2 linked regions of the Styela clava genome follow. The main gene of each other region encodes a partner of the protein of the gene in region 2 in a complex. Links are inferred from orthologs where the notes say so. Each region holds a gene or a part of one and is shown on either strand. Other genes may lie near its edges.

Region 1 (11,351 bases), on a different chromosome or scaffold from region 2:
ATTAGCTAGCCAGGTATTTGTTTTCATTTGCGTCTCTTATTGCAAAATCCCCCGGAAGTGGGTCAGGAGCCTTAAAAGGTTGGGAACCACTGGTATAGAGTTACATTACTTTACCATATCACAAAATTTACTGCGACACCTTTGAGCTCGTTAATGCCATAATTATTTAACCGTTCCCATCCCGTAATCTGTTTGAGCTGAAATATATTGGGTTTTAAGTAGGAATTCTTAAACGAAATCTCGGCGGCTAAATGGTAATGCTATTGAGCAATATTTCTAGTTACTTATCGATCTTAAGATCGGTAAGTCTGTTAATAGATATTTGTCTGTTGGTTTGTTTCAGTATACAGGCGCGGCGATGTGGCTTAACGGGCTAAGCGTTAGGAATACGCTCGCCACCGCACCTCTAATTACTCTGCGTGGGTTCGCAGGTTCGAATCCCATGCAGGGATGGTTATGTGCGAGAGGATTGCTAGACTCCTCGCCGTCGTTGGGTGGTTCACGTAACCGCTGGTCGGTTACGGCTTCCTCCACCACCAAGTCCATGCTTCCGAAAACAAACAATACAGTAAAACTATTCCAATACCCGACTTGGAATGGTAACCGGACGAGAGGCCGTGGTTCGCCATATGGATGGTCTTATCGGCTTTCCTCCCCCCCCGGGATAAATATGTAAATCCTATCCTATCCTTTATGCTATTGCAGAGGCGTAGCTTAGGGGGGGCAGTGGGGTACATATGCCCCCGGGCGCCAAGGTACAGGGGCGCCAAAATGGGGCTTGCAAACATTTCACAAGGGTAAAAAAACGGTCACAAGCAAGATCGTTAGGTTCTTGCCTGCGCACTCCGATGTAAGTTGATATTAGTCCTGTGGTGGAGACAAATGGAAACGAAATTTGGTTGACTGATGTTAATACATGTTTTGAGTAATACGTGGTTTTGTATTTCGTTGTTGTCAAAATACCGTACTTTGCGGCAGAGTTACATAAAATATATTATACTGTGCTAAAAGACCCCAATGCTGTTTTCGACAATTCGTCGAGATTGCACAGATTTTGCAAATTTCTACGATACGGACATCAATGGCCGCGAACTTTTCACCGAAATTGGAGATTGCAGAATGCTGCTCAGTAACAGAACTGTAGGTCAACCAGAAACTCCTTTGGCTCTTGTTGGTTTTATTGTGTCTTCTGGAGACGACGTTTTACCCAATCTGCGAATTTCTCTACAATTTTTGTTAACAATACCAGTTTCAATTGCAAGCTGTGAACGGTCTTTCAGCAAATTGAAACTTATTTTGTCGTATTCGCGTGCATCAACGGGACAGGATCGTCTCAGTGATCTTGCACTTCTAAGTGTTGAAAGAGAAACAGATTTTGATGACGTGTTAACCAGTTTACGACAGTGAAATTGAAAAAAATGAATTTATTGTAGACTATGCAAATCATCTTTGACAGTAACTGAGTGGGACATATGCTCTATTTTGTATAGCTTTGCTTCTTCTTTAAATAAAATGTTCCATTAAAATTTGAATTTACATATACATATATTTTTGAATAAATAATAAAATATATAAATACATATAAATTTGAATTCACATATCGTCACGGTAATAACCGAATTGCGTAAGTCATTTTTGGCGGTTTTGAGTTTTTCATAAAATAGGTATTTATATAATGCTGCGCACCTGTCTGTTAACTCAGATTTTATTTTAAGAATTCCGAAACCCATAAAAATAGAGATTTTGTATAATATGCAAATTTGTTCAATTGCTCCGTCATAATGAATTATCTTTGTTAACGTAGGACTATTGTGACGTCACAAAGGCAAAATAACCTCGGCGAAGGATTTTCGAATTTTTGCATCTCAGATTCTAGCTTAGCTCCAATAATTTTGATTTTATACTACTGTATAGAAAGGCGTGCACTTGTGATATTCACTGTCTGAGTCCAATTCACCTTGGTTGACTTTTATATAAGGGTACATTGCTGTTTTATTCTTTATATTTAACTTTAGTCTTATTTCGGTGATGTGCAGAGCGTGTTATATTGATGAAATAAATATTTTTAAACATAAAAAATAATGTAATTGAAACAGATTAGCTATTTTGGGGATTTTGGATTGTTTGGTTTTCAGGACTGGTACATATAGTCAAGTTGCAAAATTGCGTATGTCCCCTAGTCATAGACACACTTTTGCCTAAGTCACAGTGCGCCATTATGACGTCACATGACTGCGTCATACAAATTAACTTAAATCCGGCTACGATCAAAAAGTTGAACTATGGCAAATTAATGGCATAGCAATATCATTAGGAAGTTTTTTTTACGTTTTTCTCAAAACAGCTAAAAATGACTTACGCAATTCGGTTGTTAGCGTGACGATATATAATTTGTTTTTACATATAAAATTAAATGCAATAGAAACATGATTAAACGTGGGGGTCGGGGCGCCAATTTTATATTTTGCCCCGGGCGCAAAATATGCTGGCTACGCCTCTGTGCTATTGGCATTGTAAATACTTCATTTCAATACAAAAATAATTTCCTTGTTGTAAGCGAAAAAGTCATGAATGAAAGGGTTAATTGTGGTCCATTTTAGCTTACCAGGCTTATCCATGGAATGGGAAACGTCCCATGGGATGAGACAACACACTTTGTATTTCTCATGAGACACTCATTTTTATATAAGATTATTGGAAGAATAGACACATGTTTCTACCGCTAAAAGATGATGCGAAAATTGTTCTGGCCGTACCAGTGTCATCTGCGGCAGTAGAGCGTTTATTTATGGGCCGACCAGTTTGTTTTTGCGCAATCTACGACAACGGATTTACCTTCTCTTCATATGTTCATATTCATGTTCATATTCATATGTATTGGGGGGAATGGGATTAAATTAAAAAATGATAAACAAAAACATGGAAACAAAAAAATATCTATTTATATATTTATAATAAAATGATTTGATACCAAAATATTAATACGAAAATTCCGTTTGGCATTGGAATTTATTTGGCACAAAAAAAAAAAAAAAAGGATTTACCTTCTCTTGTTATCACTCTGATTACATCAGATTTGCGTGTAAAATGAAAATATAGGAAATGGTTCGGAATCAGAACTCATCCGAATTAACAGAATTAGTAACAGTCGATGAACAGGAAATTAATGATTTGCAGTAGAACGAGAGTGTCATTCTGAATTGTCGTAGTTCAGTAGTTATCAGACACGGAGTGGACCTATGGATCGTTTTGTTATTATGTTGTTGTTCTTATTGTTGCTCTTCTTCTTGGCATTAGAATTTTTCTTCCTATCGTTATGAAAAAATCACCTTTCTCTTTACTTACTGGACCAAATGCATTTCATCCAAAATTTCGCTGTATTATTTTTTACCTTACTGCCTTATGCTGTTATGGGAACACGGTTTTAAAAACTGAATTAATTAGTACCGGTACCGGTAGTCTATATGGAGAAGGGGTGGGCAACATTTTTTAGTATAAAAGCCGCATGCAGCGAGTCAGAAATATGTGAGAGCCGCATAATTTTTGAAATTATTGATATTAGTGATCATTAAATCATTTTGCATTGTAACTGTTACATTGATACTAATTTGGATTTGGGCTATTGACTGCGACAACATCAGCAATATTTTTTTTCACAAAATACAGCCCCAGAGTATCGGTGTTTAGCATTTTAAATTTAAAATAAAAAACATGGAAACAAAGGACTGTGTTTTTAAAATAAAATGATTCGATTCCAAAATATCAATATGAAAATTCCCTTTGCCATTGGAATTTATTTGGCACAAAAAAAAAAGATACTACAGTACTAACCTAGGCCCTACTATTTCCGTGTAAACTCAGAAGAACACAAATTTTGGGATTGACATCACTGTATTAGGTCACACTGTCATAGGTTCGTCGCTTATAGCATTCAAACAATCTTTGGCAAAGCATCATTCTTTGCTATCTTAGATGTACTAGGCCCTACTTTATTATTGAAATACACCGGTGTGGCTCGCCGTGCCAAGCGTTAGGAATACGCTCTATGATCCACCGCATCTGATTACTCTGCGTGGGTTTGCAGGTTCGAATCCCATGCGAGTGAATCGCTGAACTCCTCGCTGTCGTAGGGTAGATCACGTAACCGCTGGTCTGTTACGGCTTCCCCCACCATCAAGTCCATGCTACCGGAAAAAAATAACTAATCCCATACCCAACCGACATGAAATTGTAAACGGACGAGAGGCAGTGGTTCGCCATATGGTTAAGTCATCTTATCAACTTTCCTCTCCCCCAGGAGAAATATGTAAATCCTATCCTATATCTGGATATGCATACAAATGCTGAAAGATTTCCAAAGCGATAGTCATAAGCTATAACAGTATAAAGCTCTACATCAATATATTAAGGTATTTTTACTTTTTAGATTAAATAATACAAAACTTTCTGAAATTTAAGACCTAACCTACCGGTATTATCATTATGGAAACTGATCCACTTGTTCGAAGACGTTCATCTGCTGCACCAGTTAAAGTAAAACCATGTGAAGTTGGAAATCCTCGTAGTTTGAGCCATCGTCTTATCATTATTGCTTTGATGTGTTTTCTAAGTTTTGGAAGTTATTTCTGCTACGACAATCCTGCTGCATTACATGATGAAATTGTGAATGATTTGGATGTAAGTGAAAGCACTTTTATGTCGCTTTATGCTTGGTATTCATGGCCAAATGTTGTCCTCTGTTTTTTTGGAGGATTTCTCCTAGATAGGGTTTTTGGTGTTCGCCTTGGCAGCCTCATTTTTAGCATGCTGGTTGTTATTGGGCAATTAATTTTTGCTACTGGAGCACTGGTACACAAAATATGGTTGATGGACCTAGGACGTTTCATATTTGGTATTGGTGGAGAATCATTAGCTGTCGCCCAAAATACATATGCTGTTCTCTGGTTTAAAGGAAAGGAATTAAACTTAGTGTTTGGTTTACAACTCAGCATGGCTCGGATTGGAAGCACCGTGAATATGAACCTTATGGTACCAATTTATGATATGGTTAATGAAAAAATGAAGGACCACAATAAAACCTTGGGTGTTTCTCTATTTATTGCTGCTCTGACTTGTTTGTTCTCGTTGACATGTGCAATTAGTTTGGCGTATTTAGACAAACGTGCTGAAAAAATATTGAATCGTAAAAAGAATGAAGCTGAAGAAGCTGTTAAACTAACGGATGTTAAAGACTTTTCAATTCAGTTATGGCTTGTATTTGCCATCTGTGTGGCTTATTATGTAGCAGTATTTCCTTTTATAGGTTTAGGAAAAACGTTTTTTCAAGAAAAGTTTGGATTTTCTTCATCGAGCGCAAGCGCAGTGAATAGTATTGTATATATCATGTCCGCACCTTGTTCACCGGTCCTAGGCTTTATTATTGATCGGGTTGGTCGTAATTTGTTCTGGATTTTATTTGCTGTTGTTTTAACTCTTGCAAGTCATGGTTTATTAGCATTTACCTTTATCAATCCATGGTTTGCCATGACGTTGATGGGATTTGCATATTCTGTGTTAGCATGTGCACTGTGGCCACTTGTAGCATTTTTAGTACCTGAGCATCAACTTGCCACAGCCTATGGCTTTATGCAATCAATACAAAACTTGGGTTTGGCTGTCATATCGCTTGCCGCTGGTAGTATTCTCGACAGTAAAGGATATTTCATGTTAGAGATATTTTTTTGTATGTGTATCAGTGTTGCTTTAATATCTGCTTTGCTTTTGTACATCATTGATTTTGGTCGTGAAAGTGGCCTGAATGCTTCTGCCAAAGAACAAAATGCAAAACGTGCTCTCGAAGAAGCAGCAGAAGAAATTGCAAATGCTTCTGTTGATATGCAACCAAGAATTAAACCAATGACTGCATTTGGTTTGAGAAATCGTTATTATTCAAGAATCGGTGCAATTATTCCTGAACACTTAGTTGCTCACACTAACGTGTCACATCACGGACATGATGAATAGAATTTTTTATTATATTTTGATTTTCTTCCATTTTTGATGAATTTTAATGCAATTATGTGTATCGTAATATTCCAATGTGATTACTGCATCATATCATGACACCTGTTATATTTTGCAGAACATTTTTTAATATAACAGTGCCCATATGTCTCATTGCTACAGATCTCCATCTCTGAAATAACAACCTCGAATTCCAAAATTTTTGTTTATGATTATTCATCTGTAATGCTTACATAGTTATACAAAATATCTCCTAAACTTTGTACTATTAGTTATACCGTACTTTTTCATGCATCAATTTACAAACCAATCTTGCCATTTGTTATGTAGCATTTTTCTGTGCTTCTATCATTGTGTCTTGTAAAAATTTATCATTTTTTTTATAGATTACCATCTAGCTCCTATTTTAAATCTGATATGGCTGGAAACTTCTGGCAGAGTTCTCATTGCAATCAATGGATACTTACGCCGCAAGATCTCACTCGAGAACGAGCAGCTGATTTCAAAGTTTTAACGGAAGTTGAATATAACAAAGTGATGATTTTTTATGCCAATGTAATCCAAGCAATTGGCGAACAATTAAAGCTACGCCAGCAAGTTATTGCTACGGCAACTGTTTATTTCAAAAGGTTTTATTGCAGACATCCATTACGAAGCTGTGACCCACTTCTTTTAGCTCCAACTTGCATTTTTCTTGCTGCGAAGGTGGAAGAGAGTGGCGTGGTATCAAATTCACGGCTTATTGCTGCAGTCGGAAGTGTCATCAAAAATAAATTTGGCCATGCGTTTCAAATGGATTATAACTACAGAATAACCAGTGTTTGGGAATGTGAATTTTTTCTCCTGGAATTAATGGATTGTTGTTTAATTGTGTATCACCCATATCGTCCATTATTACAATATGTTTCAGACATTGGACACGCTGATTTATTGTTACCAGTTGCTTGGCGTATTGTAAACGACACATATCGTACGGATGTCATATTGTTATATCCACCTTTTCAAATTGCTCTCGCATGCCTGCATATTGCATGTGTTATACAGAGTCAGTTAGAGGTTGCAAGACAATGGTTTGCAGATTTAAATGTTGATATGGAAAAAATTATTGAAATTACAAAAATTATATTACAACTTTATGATTTGTGGAAAAACTATAACGAAAAAGAAGAAATTTCTTCCATTTTAGAAAAAGTTCCTAAAGCTTGTGTCACACCAAGTGATTATAACAGAGATGATCGCATGGCTATAAAGGGTAAAGGAAAAGGGTAACCTTTGATTAAACTAAATTAAAGCTCGGTATCCGTTTTTCCATCAATAAGAGAGGTTCAAATTTTATATACGTTGCAAAGTATGGGTATATCTCAACTTCAAACAAGGCCATGTATCTGAAACAAATAGATGGACACAAGGGAGGGTCAAAGTTTATCTACGTTGCAAAGTATAGGCATGGCTCAACTTCAAATCAAAGACATGTATCTGAAACAAATAACTGGCCAACTAATATCATACCCGAGTAACCCGACATAGACTGTTAACCGAACGAGAGCCCTCTTATCTAATTTCCTCTCTCCCGGAATAAATATAAAATCCTATCCCTAAATAATTGATTGATAAGTGAATTAGTAAATTGATGTATTTAAATTTAGCCAAGTGCATGAAAAGGAAGATTTCAAGTAGTCATTGATGTATTCAATGATGATGACTCTCAGTTTCATGGTAGTCTTTTTTCAAACCACATGCTATGTGATTGTGTCATTTTGGCTGTTGCTATTGCAATTCCCTATTTTAAGTCCTTACTTTTGGGATACAGATCCAAATGCTTAATTAATTAAATTAATCGGGTTCCTCATTTTGTGCAAATAGCATGCGTTAAACCAGTCAAAATGATTGTTTTGCTATGTGAACAAAAACAAACTATTTGCAGGTTGTGAATTTATAATTGCATATTATCTGTACAGTTTGTGCTACTCTGTTTATGCTTTCTACTTAGTGTTGACTAAACAATACATTTTTATGATTACTAGATCACAATAACTTGCCAAATATGTAAGGTGCACACTTTATTTTGATAATGCTAAATTACTTATATCCTGAAATTTTTGAAATAGTGAACTATTCGGTATTGGCCATCCCTGATTTGAAGCACTCTTGCTGATTTTTATTTCCTTATCGTATTGTCTATCACCCTATGAAATTTGAGGGCTACAGGAAAATTACACCTAGTATTCCAAAATAGTAATATGATGGGTATCACTTACATTATAATATTAATTTAAAATTGTGACATCATATCTGAATTTTAAATTTGAATAAATCTAGATGCAATTTACAATTTCAAGCAGTACTTGATATTTCTAGTAGTACCAGTATTTTTCAATGTACATACTATCATGAAATGCTTTTGTATTGTTTAGATCAAGTAGATAGAATCAGGTCAAATAGTCTTAGTTATTTATTCATGTTGAATGTAGGCCAATAGCTAGATATCTACCTTGCTGTTTTTATAAAGTAAGTTTTGTAGTTTAATCTATTGATAATGCTAATCAATCAAGTATTGACACAATTACCAACCAGGGCATTGACTATAAGTAAAAACTATAGTAAATGTCCAGGCATGATTAGGTTCTAGATGGAAAAACAAGTGATAATACCATAAATGTAATAAAATGTGTTCATTATGTATGGTATTATTTAACTTACGGTATGTGAATAATAATATTACAATAGGATGTTGTAATCAGAGATGGCTATTTTTCAATATCGAACTTGATATTTTATCCAAAATTTTTAACAAATCTGTCTTCTCATCTGAATATATTATTTACTCGAATATGGTCCAGAAAATTCATGGCATTCCCTTTTTGTTAATATAACAAATGATACTTTTTCCAACACTTTTGTGAAACTAAAGTGAATTATTCCATTCATTGGGTACATCTCGTGACAATTCTTTTGATTATACAGTATAATATGTTTATATATTTTCTTTTTCAGATCTGTATCAGCATTTCTTTATCAACATCTTGAAAGGAGCACACTGATAAAAAGTCACCTAGAAATCATGTTATGATTTTTAAACAAAAAAGATGTGTGAATGAGGTTTAAAAAATTTCATATCAGGGGTGTTTATGGCATGCATAGATCACCTAGTTAAGTATACTTGATGCAATGGACATTTTATCAAATATTATCTGTAACTACTTAATCATGTGATGTGTTACATATGATTTTTTTATTTTGTTAAACAGAGAAAATATGATATAGTGCAACCAATGATAAAATTATACCAAATGCAACCCACAAGGGAAAATTGTGAGGCTCCTGCAGAAATGCAAATTTTGAATGATGTGTGACCCACGAAACGAGTTTTAATTTAGTTTAATCTGCTACATGCAAGTAAATTCAATCCCTTTGCATTGCAAAGCCTATACTCTAATTATTATCTATGCCTATGACATTACAATGCCCTAACAGCTAGCTTGTTGTGAAGCGAACAACGTATATTATAAGATCAATAACCAAAATTTTTATATATGTGCAACTACCACCCAGTGTTAAAGAAAGGTGCGGCCAGCAGTATGAATATATATTAAATTGCCCAATGTTCACATTCAAAAAAGAAAGACGCACTAATCTCTATTTTTTAGGCATGTTGTACTCACTGATCTACTAATACTATCATCATTAAGCAGAACTTAATAATTTCCATCTAGTTGTCCAAAACCAACCCAAGAATCAGCCATATTGACTACAACTATTTATGAATATATTTGTATAGTTAATTTTGTTCCGACCCCTGTCTATAGCACCCTGTTAATCTTGTATATAGTCCATTTCTAGGTCCTACAACATTATAAATTTTTAACTTAAATAGAAGAGATGATTCTCAGACAGTTACTTCATCCAATTCAGCAAAGATCTACTACATCTTCGATTATGTTGAAGAATAGTATACATATGAACTGCTTTAAGTGTCATCAAACTTCCAGCATCAGATCAAACATTTATTTAAGTAATTTCAATAAAGGGAGAAATTGTTTATTACAAAAATGTCTCACCTTATATCTTTCGAATTTGAGAAACATGAGTATGTCTTCAACTTGTTATTCGATTGAAAAGCGACTAGGAACTGAATATGAAGAAGGAGTATTATTGTATGTAGGTGGAAATGTTGGGAATACAATAAAACGTTAGTAAAGATCTCTTTTCAAACTATTTAGAAAATTGTATTTTAAAATATAGCTTCAAGTTAGGCATTTATTCATACGTCTTCTGCTAGCCTAGTCAACTTATTGTCTCAATCAAAATTGAGATGAATATTATTTTGCTAATAAATGATTGTGTTATTTTTCAGGTGCCCAAATGTTCTTGTACTCTCTTGGTGCATTGACCCTGGTTGCATCACCCATGATCTTCTTTTCTACAGAAGTCGAAATTATGGTATGTTGATATAAGGTAAATCTTTGAATAGAGATATTTTCTATTGGGCAAGTCTGAAAATATTAGCATTTTACCAGGGTCACACGAGACTTACCTGCCTATCCTTATATATTTAACAAAGTTCACGGACAATTGTGGTTGCATGTCTAATTTTACTAAAACAGTGGTTTCCAACCTTTTTTGGCTCGCGACCCTCTTTGGTGGTTTACAAATACCTCGCGACCCCCTGCCTCACTTTCTATACTATCAATAAAATAAGCAGGAAAGTGGAGGCGAGGTTCTTACGACTTCATGACAGCTGCTGCCACGAACGTATCGATGGCACCTTCTGCCGTAGTTATGGCGCTTTTACCGGTATATTCACAAGGTCGTGTAGCAGATTTTAGTGCAGCATGCGGAATTATATCTACTGAAACCTGACACCAAATCCATCAAAACTGTATCCATAAGAAAAATGTTCCAACCTAACCCATATTCATTGCCATCAGGGACAGCCCTGTCATTACAGCCGACATGCCGTGGTTACGGCAGCAAAGTTTCAGCCGCCTTTAGTTTTCAATTTGCTGCCGTGTTAACGACATCTCGCCATTGATTTGTGGCAGCTAAAAAGTCGCGACCCCAAGGTTGGGAATCACTGCACTAAAATAATACAGTCATTGGAATTATCTCTCACATTTTGCAATGTGAATTTACTTTTCTTTAGGGATAGTTCTTTGTAGCAGAGATAATGCTTGCAACTTTTGTCTTTTACTTCAATTTTATATCAACACATTTATATTATAGAAATATGTTATCGTGACATGGGCTTTTCTATTTGGCGTTGCAAATCCTTCCATGTTCTACAAATTCATGCAGAGATATGTTCTTGAATTATATCATGACAAAAAAGAAGACAAATATACAGCTTA
Region 2 (11,258 bases):
ACTCATGCAACTTCATGCTTCAGTTTCATAATAGAAGGGGATTATTGTAGGCCGTATAGAAAATTACCAACAGAAGACCAACTTGACAATAATCTTGCCCGATGTGTATGATGAGATATAACAGAATCAATACTGATATTTATAAACTGCAACATGATATGATACCATGGCTAGCTAAGTCAAAAAGCTAATGATTTTGTTTCACTGATGATCACAATATTCTCATTTATAACTGACCTTCAAATTTTTTTCATTTTTGTCTTCAATTTCTTCATCATTTATGAATTCTCTTCTTGGATAAGGAATAGGGCCGGCGCCAAACACACTGTGTGAGAATAGCATGAGTTCAATTTTTTTTTTAAATGGAGTTAGTTACAACCCAATAATACTGTAATGTTGATGGTTATTACCCACGTAATAGCGATTTGTTCCCCAAATGATAATAAAACTATTAAATAAATTTTGATGTAAAATCCATACTGGTGAAATGTATGGTATACCCCTTTTTTTAATTTTAAACCAACATATTATGCTCAAAAATAATAATTTTAACACATTAGGTATTTGTAACAAATGTCAAGGTGTTCCTAGTAATGGAATTAAATGTTGACACAAATATTGAACATATAAGATTATTCAGAAATACTAACTCTTTATTAGGAATAGGTTCTTCATTGAAGTATGGATCAACTTTAGCCATATCTGATGTTATTCTTCTCTGTGGATCCATGATTAAAAGCTTGGATAACTGAGAAGAAAAAAGCGGCAAAGTTTGAATAATACAAAACCCTTGCAAACTTGGAAATTTACCGTATGTTTTATATAGGTTTAACTAGGTGTTTAAAATTTCTCTTCATAATCAATTTTGTTTTCATGGAATATATGGTACAAACTTTGATTGGATATTAAAATTTCAGAATACCAAACATTTCAGACATCCCTTTTTCAAATACAGTGATAAAAATCCATATATGGTAACACACACATTCATACTACAATACATTTATGGCAAATAACAATGAAATGCTCCTTAGAGGAAAGACGAAGAGCAAAATCTATCAATACCAGTGCAAATGCTTTTGTATCAGGTTTGATTTTGTGTTTATCCATATATTTGGCAAGAGAAGCTGTTGCATAGTTTTGTTTGCGGAAATCTTTTTGGAATGCTGAATATTCTGGCATAATTCTGATGCTTTCCCAATCTTTTTCGAGTGGATATCCCATAACGCTAAAAATCCTGTAAAATAGTAATACAATGTAAATATGAGATAAACTCAGCCAGTAAAGAGAGTGCGAAAGATCAGAAATATACTCTTTCCAAAATAAAACTGACATATCCTTACCAACACACAGAAGCAAAAGTGAAAAGAGTTTATGAATTAACTGAATATTTGATAGTTTTAAGCTGTCATTCACACTTTCCACTTACATAGGCATGGTTATGTTACATTATTAACACCCACATATTTATTGTTAAGATCATTCACTAGTGTCACTGCAATCAGTTGTAATATAGTGAATGCAAGTCTTCTGGACATGTTTTACAAATGATTATGATTTCAGGCTAGTATCTTGCATACTTGCCCCAGACAGAGAAAAGCTGTCATCATAAAGCCCAGGTCAAGCATAGATAACCAATTAATCATTCCAGAGGTCTTTGATGGTGGCGGAAGATGTAACCTGCCAGAAGTTGTGTGAATCACCAGTACTCCCGCAGTATGTGAACCAGGTTAGCGTTAGGTCATTTTTCCGGATTTTCCTTATTTATTACGAGTTCGGGGACTGTCTGTGTTAGCCAAGTGAATATACCCCCAGCCCATAGGCTTCAGTACCTTCACACAGCTTGATGTAAAATAGCCGCACAAAATTAGTTACCTCCATATTGGTACACACACTCGCGCAGAATCACCTATTCACATCTTACCCCAAACAAAATTAATACCTGTGAAATCTACTCAGATAGCTCACTAGTTCATTTGCAAGTATAATCATAACATAAAAATGAAAAAAAAGGTCGAATAAAAAGATGGTGGGATAATTTTAAATTATTATAAAAATGTAGAAACCTGCTTAATTGATCTTGATGATATGGATTTGATGTCTTTATGTCTTCTTGTCTACAATGAAATATTGGTTCCGATGTGAGAAGTTCAGCAAATATACATCCGATTGCCCAGATGTCTGCACAAAGTAATTAATGCTGAATTATTGTTCTGATAACTAAGAATGCAAATTGGTTTAACTGTGAAATAATGCTATACAATAGCGAGTAATTAACAACAGGGATTTTTAAACTTAGTTGTGAGAATTCCTAAGGAACTTGATCTCGTTCTAAATATACTACAAGTCAGGAGTGAATATATGGCATTTTGAATTTGGGGATGATATGAACTCACCAATTGCCTTTGTGTAATGTCTTGCTCCAAGAAGTAACTCTGGAGCTCTGTACCAGAAAGTTACGACAACTGGATCGAGATCAGCAAGAGGTTTGAGTGGTGAGTTGAAGAGTCTTGCAAATCCCATGTCTGCTATTTTTACCTGTGAAAAATGAAAAAGATTTACCATTATATTATTTATTAAAGTATTCCTGAAGAAAATTCCACAAACTCAAATAAGAATATTCACTATCTTAATTGTTGTGACTTGTGGCAGAATAAAATGGGGTGATAATGATAATATAATTCAAAAACAATATTAAAAACTTCAGTATATTAACAGCAGAAGGGACAAAATAAAGAAACTGATTTTGTGATTCAATTGCATCTACAGATCATGTCAATAAGATTCATTATTTCAGAATCAAAGTTTTCAAAACTGTGGAGTCAAATAAGTAACTTTTACAGCATGTGCATTTGTGGGGACAGTGGCCTAGTGTTTAATAAGCAATAGACTCAACTATGATCGCAGGTTAAGATTTGGTTCAAATCCTTTGCCCACTACCTTGGTCAATTTCTTGCCAAACAGGAAAGATTCCAAATCTTCCAAACTATAGCAACTCCTTATCTAGTGGTAGCTGCTTGTGAGGAACTTCATTTGGAGCGAAATGTGTGGCATGGAAAATAAAACATGTCAAAAACTGAGTTCCCAAATTTTATATTTTTTAAATTGGGAAAACTTCATGCTGTAAAAATAGCAACAGTTCTATTGCAGTACAGCAGCACACTATCCAAATTCCAAGAATATTCCTCCATTTGGCTCAATAAAACAAACACTCTATGTGTCTCACAAACGAGGGGTGTCTGGGACCACGTCAAATGCTTCATATCGCGCCATGCTTGTCTCAATAATAATTTAAATTAATCGCGGCCGTCACATGACTAAAATTGCCGTTTTTTGCTAACAACTCTTAAATACTACAAAAAAAAAATTTCCTGCGGTAAATCGGATTATTTTTTCCCAATGAATTCAATGATGACGTTACTAGATTGTGCTTTCTTGTAGTATTTTGCGCAACTCCATTATACTGTATTATTACCAATATTGAGGGACAACAATGTCCAGACGTCTCCCAAAGGAGGAGAGTCTGATCACCTGTAAAATGGGTTTCTCTGAAACAGGACAATGTCACCCTATTTGTATAGTGTGCCGTACTGTATTGTTTTTGATACAAAAATTCAGCCTCACCCTTCCTCTTTCTGGTCCTTCTCCCATAACTAGTATGTTTGCAGGTTTTAAATCTCTGTGCAAAACCCAGTTTGAATGTAAGTAATGTATTCCATCTAGAATTTGATAAAGTAATGACTTGACAGTGTGTGCTGGAATGTTTGTGCCAGGTTTCTTGTTAGACTTGGAAGCTCGATGATATTTGATTATATGCTGAAAATTAATAAATGGTTAAAAATCACAGATAAATTTTGAGAAAGAAAAATGATCTAATGTATTCGAACCGTTTTCTAAAAATCAGAAATTTTTTTATAATTAATGCAGAAGTTATTTTGCGGCAAATTTAGGATAAATATCTTTTTTCAACTTTTTGTGACATTTTAGGGATAATAGAAAATAAAAATGAATGTAGTGGAGTATTTTGAATATCACGCTCTATCAAGACACTACTATGAATTTTATTTACATGTAACTATCTGTTATATTAATAACACTTTACCCATAGATCATGTTCCGAATAGTCAACTTGTAGCCAAACTTTTCTGTCAGAATGTGATAAATAAACTGCTCTCAATGATATGACATTCTGATGCTTCAATTCTCTCAGAAGCTGCAAATTATAATAAAGTAGGAATCATTTTAAATAAAAAAAAATCCATGAATTGTTGATATGACAGTATGATAAATACTTACTGCAATTTCTCTGCAAGCAGACATTGAAATCCCAGTGCCTTCAATCAATTTCAAAGCATATTCATTTTTGTCCGAGGAATCCTTCTTTATAGCTTTATAAACATGGCCATAAGTTCCACGTCCCACCTTACAGCCTTCATATTCAAAAAGATCTTCCACTTTTCGCCTCTTGGTCGCCAGCATTTGTTTGAACTCATAATCCATAACAAAACTATTAAACAGATCTACTGTCTGACTGTTGTAATGCAGTACCGTACAGCAAGCTGGGCTTATTAAAGTTTACAAAGTTCTGCCTACTATGGTCCAATTACGGAATTATTCATCAAAATTATCTTCTGTTAAAAATATGCGACACAGAAACAAGTCACAGAAGCCAGATTCCCGCGACACCGAGATATTTCAGTTGGCTTGGCTGATTTTCTAATTCCTACATACTTCCAATATCATGTCGGTGTGACGTCACGTCTTCTACCGCACACGATAATGCTTCAGCGTACCAATGAGCATATATACATACATATACGGTACGAAATGAAGCATTATGATTTTGCCTTGTAATTAAATTAGATACGTGTATCTCTCTAAGGTAGGTTGGCGTATCGTGCTAAGCGTTGGGAACAAGCTTTTCATCTTTACATGATATGTTTACCAATTGATTTAACTTGGGCTACATTGTATGGAAGGACGTCCCTGTCCCACTTAGATACTTGTCGATCACGTTTCCATCTGCGTCAGCCCGGGCATTTGAAAAAATTAACTGAACAACTATTCCCATGACATATTTGGACTGGTAATCGCAAAGTGAAACTAGACTGGCAGTGTGATTAAAAGGGAAAACAGACATCTCTTTTCTGGGATTTAGATAGTCAAATCTTTATCATAAGAGTAACTGGAATCATGTAACCTTGAGTCTACAAAAATTAGCCCTCATAAGCATATATGCACCCGTGCAATCTTCATCTTGAATATATCCCACTTTAAGACATATTTCGGTCTCAACTATTTTGTTTCAAATGTTTAATCGTAAATGTTTAATTCATGACGAAGATGAAATATCTGGTTAGATTGAGATATTTATTTTCGTCGTGCAACAAACATCAATGGGTTTCAATGTTTCAACTGCAATGGACAAGGTGTCGCGAAAAGACTATCAAAGTCATCGGTCAACGACACCATTTTCCAGCAGCAGATGACGTCAAATATTTACGAAAGTATATTGACATAAATAAATACAACACAATTTGGGAACCAAAATTCAAGAGAAACGATTGATTCTATGAGAGAAAACAAAAAAGATTGACGAAATATGTCAATTTTGAGCTCTATCGCCAATAGATACTATAGCATGGACTTGGACCGGTTATATGAACTACGAAACAATTCTTTCGCACATCATTATCTCCCACAGCATTCGATTTCGAACATAAAAACCCACATAGCCATGACGAGTGTATTCATAACCTCACGCAAATCGGCAAGCTTGAAGTTGTTCACGGCCGAATAAATTGGCTTTTTCCCTGTTCTACGCCTCCCCTCGAATTCACTCGGGGCTAGTTGGGAGTGGGAGTGGTGATTCCTCTAAGGCTCATGGCCCTTCAAGTTGTGTAAAGGGAGTGATCCCCCCCCCCCTAATTTTGAGGTGCGATTCAACACTGTAATTCCTAACTCAAGTTCCTAACTCCTGTATTCAAACATAACGACTATGACATATTCATCAGTGTAGATGAGGGGTTCCAACCCGCAGTGTGCGGGCCAATTACGGCTCGCGTAACGATTTAAAATGGCCCGTCGAACTTGAGTGAAATAGTTTTAACACTTCACGTGATACCTTTTGAGTTTTAGATATCGTCTATCGTTACATCATTATCACAGTTTAAGCACGTTTATTTCGTAACAATTGAATTATACCGATATCTTATGTATAAGTATGGGTATTGGGATTACCCACTGCAGTATTTTAGATATCAGCCGTATATTAAGAAAGTTTAAAGATGTCACAAAACGAAAACTAGGCACTGAAAACAGACGTTTTTCATGTGGATGCCAGCGTTTTCATTTCCTTATTGAAAAGAATCAAACTTCAGCGATTTGTCTTCCTTGCCAACAAAATATTTCAGTTCTGAAGGAATACAACATTATGCGCCATTATGATCAGTTGACGCGCGTATTTCAAAATTTAATTCATTGTGCCTAAGCGCCCCGAACCCAAGCCGTATCGTCGCGCACTTTTCCTTGCTCCCTTTTTCGGGCCTTACAATTTTATTCCGTGGGTATTTTGGCTCGCTGTCAATCAACTTGGGGGACCCCCTCGTGTACATCATTTCTTAAATACATACCAATTTTTCAAGAATACAAATAGTTTTATCGCTAATAGCAAATAATTTACCACCCCCCTGTTTTCGAAATAACCCCCCCCCCCCCCTAAAATGAAAAGCTGGGGAACATACTGTGTGAAGGGACTATTCACTTGGCTAACACAGTCAGTCCCCGAACTCATAATAGAACTATAATGTGAAAAATCTGAACAAAATTTGGTCATAACCCTAACCTGGTACACATACTACAGGAGTATCCTTTTCTGTTGCTTGGTATTTTGCTTTATTTTTATATGAAGGCTTATCGTAAGAAAAAAATTTGGTGGCATCCCGCGATTTTTTCGGTTCAAATAATGACAATTTCGTAAAAATTGAAAATTTTGGTAAGATAATTGAATTTTTTCCTTACGGGGTCGCGGCCCATAGCTTGATGGGCCACGGCCCATGTGGCCAAATCAGATGGGCCGTGGCCCCGGACCAGGGCCGTAGAAGAGTCACCAGTAGCTAGGCAGTTCCGGATTTCTTGTTGAGGGTCGCGAACTTTCACGGCAAATATCCCATATGCACAATGACCAGTCGTCGATGTGGAAACAGAAGTGTGAATGAGCAAGGTGTGCGAAAACCTGGCAGCGCATCAAAATCCTCTATTTTTGGAAATGCAATGTATGACTGAAGAATGACAAACGTATTCTCAACAAGTATGTATCCACAAATCTTGTCTCACCACACATAGAATGACACTTTAATCTTCACTCCCCACATTTCCAGTACTAAATGGAAAAATGCCAGCATGCAACTTTACAATACTGTTCCAAACAACCTATCCCCATATAACTAAGATGTTTTTTTTTTATTTTCAACTTCACTAAAAACACAACTGTTAATAAAATGCGAACTCATAAGGTCATGTACAATCTAAAGTTAACGATATTACTGAAACAGTATTATGGAGTTGGGCAGTAAAGTTTAATAGGTGAAACAAACCAAAAGAAAAACAATTTTAACAAGAGTATGTGGGGACAGGGATTCGTTTTCTACCTAACAAATATAATATACATTCTGGGGGTGAAAGTTCAAGCCACCTGTCAAGAATGAATAAAACTTGAGAAACTAGTTATTTTCAACAAATAACTTTTAAAAAAAATAAAAAATATTTCAGTTTAAAAATCGATATATCCAGCAATCGACATCCAGTGAGGAAAAAATTAATTGTCAAATTAACAAACTAAATTGCGCAAATTTTTCTATTTTACATGGCTCAATGCTAAACATATTCAATTATTGAAACGGTAAAAAATAATACAGAATTCGTTCGAAATCACAAATAATTCGAGTTCCAACACCCCTGACAAGTGATCCAGTATATCACCTGTGTAAGCACCTAATTTAATTACAAATGAACCAGAATAGTTTACAGAAATTGCACCATTCTCAATGCTAAATACATGCTCAAAACAATGTTGACTTTGTACGTATTAAGGAGAGAATGCTGGTGGTGGACCAGATGCAGAAAAATTGAAAGTAGTTGGCACATTAGTGGTGTTAAATTGATAACCTCCAGTCTTTTCGATTTTTTTAGACTCTGCCTCTGCTTGCCGCTGGTCCGCAGTTGTGAAAACTTCCTGAAGGTTCTTCCTTTGATCGTCAGTCAAACCAGAAACAAGCTGATTATACCATCCATTGTTATTTAATTCCAATTGTTTTAAGACTTGCTTGAAAATGAAATATTCACTGCCAACATTATCTTCATCATCAAAAGAAGATGCGTAAATTTCAAGCGGCGTCTCTCCATCACTGATATCACTGTCGCCATCAATACCATTTAAAGAACTCTTCTCCAGCATTTCTAAGTATTCAGCAGACTCTTCATCAACCTCATCCTCGCTTGATTCAAGCTCCTCACGTTCATGATCACTCTCATCTTCTTCCTCATCAGAATTCGAGCTTTCACTGCTGTTCTCTTCCCCTCTACTTCTGTAAGCTTGAGTCAGTCCTTGCAACATTAAGATTAAAGAAGGTAAAATGTCTGGTGCAAGTTCAGATATGATTTTTGGTCGTTCCGCAGAATCAATCACAGTACATAGGCCAAGTACAGATATCCGTCTATCATGAATTCCGAGAAAGCAATCTGCATCTTTAAGCCACTGGCGAAAAAATTGCTCAGTAACAGTTTCCGTTGTGTTTGGGAACTGCATGCTTTCCAATGTTTGAAAAAGTAAGGTGGGATTGTAATAAAGGGCAGCAATTACAACTTGAAGGCACATGGTTCGAAGTTCACTTGTTTTCACTTCTTTGGTGAGTCTTTCAAGAGCAAGCTGAACAAATGAAGGGATGCACTGGTCAATTTTTCCATGGCATTGCAAAATGATTACTTCCAGAAGTTTTACAGCATGACTTTCTGCATCTTCTCCATTTTGTTCTTCAAGAATTTTTTTGCACATTTCAAATACTGTTTCCATATTTTTTGTGTTTGACAAAAATACATCTGTATCAACAGTGCAAAAGTTGTGCACGACAGGCATCATTTCGGAGAAATAATCAAAGCCGTCATCGTCGAAAATAACTTTAATCAATGGCAATGCCTCCCACATTTGTGGTGAAATTGCTTGGCAAGTTAAAGAATACATTAACGATAAGATTTCTTCATAAAAATCCATAATTCTATTCTTCAAAACATGGGCAACCACAGGAACAACAATACTTTCTAATTGTACTGTAATATCTCTTTGTTCCTCCATTGTATCCAAAACTGTTTCAATTGTACTTAACACTCCCATAGCAGCCACTGATCTGTTGTCAGATGCCTCATCGTCATCATCTCCAGTACCATTGATTTGTCCATTTTCATCCGTTAATAGTTTGAAAAACGTCATCACCAAACTCTGTGTTATGTCTACTGCATATGGTATCACTTGCTCGCAATAAAGACAAATAATTTTATGCACAACTGAAGTCAACTCATCATTCTCTGTTTCATGCACAAGTTGAAGTAAACTCTGAATCATGACATTGATATAAGGTTCACAACGCTTCTCAGCTTTTTCCTTGTGCAACAGTAGAGTCTGAAGAGCAAAAGCAGCCTCAACTCGAACTGGAAGTTCAGGGTCATCAATAAGAAGTGTACGTATTCCATCAGCCACTGCAAATATATTCGAATCCTTTTTGAATGTGATTCGGCTGAAATGCTGAGTGACCCATACGGCTCTTGCTCTCATGTATCCAAGTGTACTCTTGTATTCTGGAATAACATGGGTAAAAAGCATGCTTTCTAGTTGACTTTTGTATACTTTTCTTTTTCTTAGGGTTGATGATAAAGATCCAATAATATGCAAAGCTCCTTCCTTGCGACGAGGTTCCGTTTTTGTTTCATTGGCAACCAGAACTTTATGACAAAAACCCATTGTTTTTTGCACAACTTGCTTTCTTTTAGTACAAGCGGACTGCAAGAAACACTGAGCTGCACTCGATGGAGAAAAGAAATCTTCCTTGAAATCAAATCTTTCACGAACAAACTCATGTGGGTCATCGCTCCACAATTCTTCGTCTTTTTCTGAGAAACACATCAGAGGAAATATTACATCTTTCAAAACTTCGTCATAAACTCCTTTCATGACTTTCCAAGTTTGAGAATGGCTAACTCCTTGTTCCAAAAATTGCATTGTCTGTTGTAAGACGCGAGGTGATACATATTTTCCCTTGCTGTAATCACCCAATACTTTCAGAAGAACATGAGTTGCTCCGACAGCGTACCTTCGCAAGAAAAATTCAGAAAATTGATTATATTCTTGACTAACAGTCCCAGGACTACCATATCTTTCAAAAACTCTGGTTAAAATATGCAGAGCCCACTTTTTACATTTCCACCATGGTAAATCGGGTCTCTCTAATTCATCCACTTGTAGAGTTTCTTCAGGTGGTGCCTCTTCAATCACAATTTGAATGTATTTCATCCAGGTATCCAAAACTGCACCTTCAATCAATTTGAGAGGCAGAGAATACTGTGTAAGAGCGTAAATCACTTTCAAACACTGCTTTTGAATAAGCACAGACTGAGCAGACCCATCATTGAGTGCATGCTGAAAAAGTTGTCCCAGAGCGGGTAGAAATATTTTCATTGCTTCCAATAATGGTACCCTCTCTTCTCGTTTCTTGTACTCATATTTTTTAACCAATTGATACAAGGTCTGCAAAGCTCCCATCCATGTATTTGGATCACCTCCCAAGTAGTTGGCAATCTTGTCTATGATTCCTGGCCATCGCTCTGGAAAGTCTTCCCTAATGATTTGATAAACAGTGACGCTCATTTGACTTCTGATAACTTCAGGAGCATGTATAATGGCCTCGACAATATTCTCTCTTATAATTGCTTTATCATTTTCATGAATGAAAAAGACATCGGTAGATTCGTCATCTTCTGGGTCCTTTCTCCACCACTTGGTACACATATTTTTCATATAAATCGCACCAGCTTGCCTGACTGCCATTGGTATTTCTTCAGACATTACAATTTGCAATAGAAGAGGAGCAAATCCACTGATCTTGTGCATTTCATCTAGTTTGCTTTCTGCCTCTTGTCGAAGTGCTGGATGCATTGTCCCTTCAAGGATCTCAACAACTTTTTTTGGATCCATGACTATTGTGGTTTTG

Evidence for each region. Proteins that work in one complex are often made in the same cells at the same time.
Region 1: cyclin-dependent kinase 8-like (region 2) and cyclin-C-like share a complex: the UniProt entries of both Caenorhabditis elegans proteins name them as parts of the mediator complex. The link is inferred for Styela clava from reciprocal best matches to the Caenorhabditis elegans genes cdk-8 and cic-1.

The regions. Positions count from the first base shown.
Region 1 is NC_135255.1:10,307,276-10,318,626, forward strand, and holds cyclin-C-like, read left to right. Parts: upstream 1-6,389; 5' UTR 6,390-6,420; coding exon 6,421-7,272; 3' UTR 7,273-8,418; downstream 8,419-11,351. Other genes in the region: lysosomal dipeptide transporter MFSD1-like, read left to right, coding at 4,483-6,003; transmembrane protein 70, mitochondrial-like, read left to right, coding at 9,883-10,192, 10,358-10,443, 11,227-11,351. UniProt on the Caenorhabditis elegans protein: Component of the Mediator complex, a coactivator involved in regulated gene transcription of nearly all RNA polymerase II-dependent genes.
Region 2 is NC_135252.1:15,841,893-15,853,150, forward strand, and holds the start of cyclin-dependent kinase 8-like, read right to left. Parts: upstream 4,762-11,258; 5' UTR 4,501-4,761; coding exon 4,297-4,500; intron 4,214-4,296; coding exon 4,103-4,213; intron 3,817-4,102; coding exon 3,625-3,816; intron 2,539-3,624; coding exon 2,397-2,538; intron 2,182-2,396; coding exon 2,067-2,181; intron 1,238-2,066; coding exon 1,066-1,237; intron 749-1,065; coding exon 651-748; intron 326-650; coding exon 238-325; intron 1-237. Other genes in the region: importin-7-like, read right to left, coding at 8,087-11,242. UniProt on the Caenorhabditis elegans protein: Component of the Mediator complex, a coactivator involved in regulated gene transcription of nearly all RNA polymerase II-dependent genes.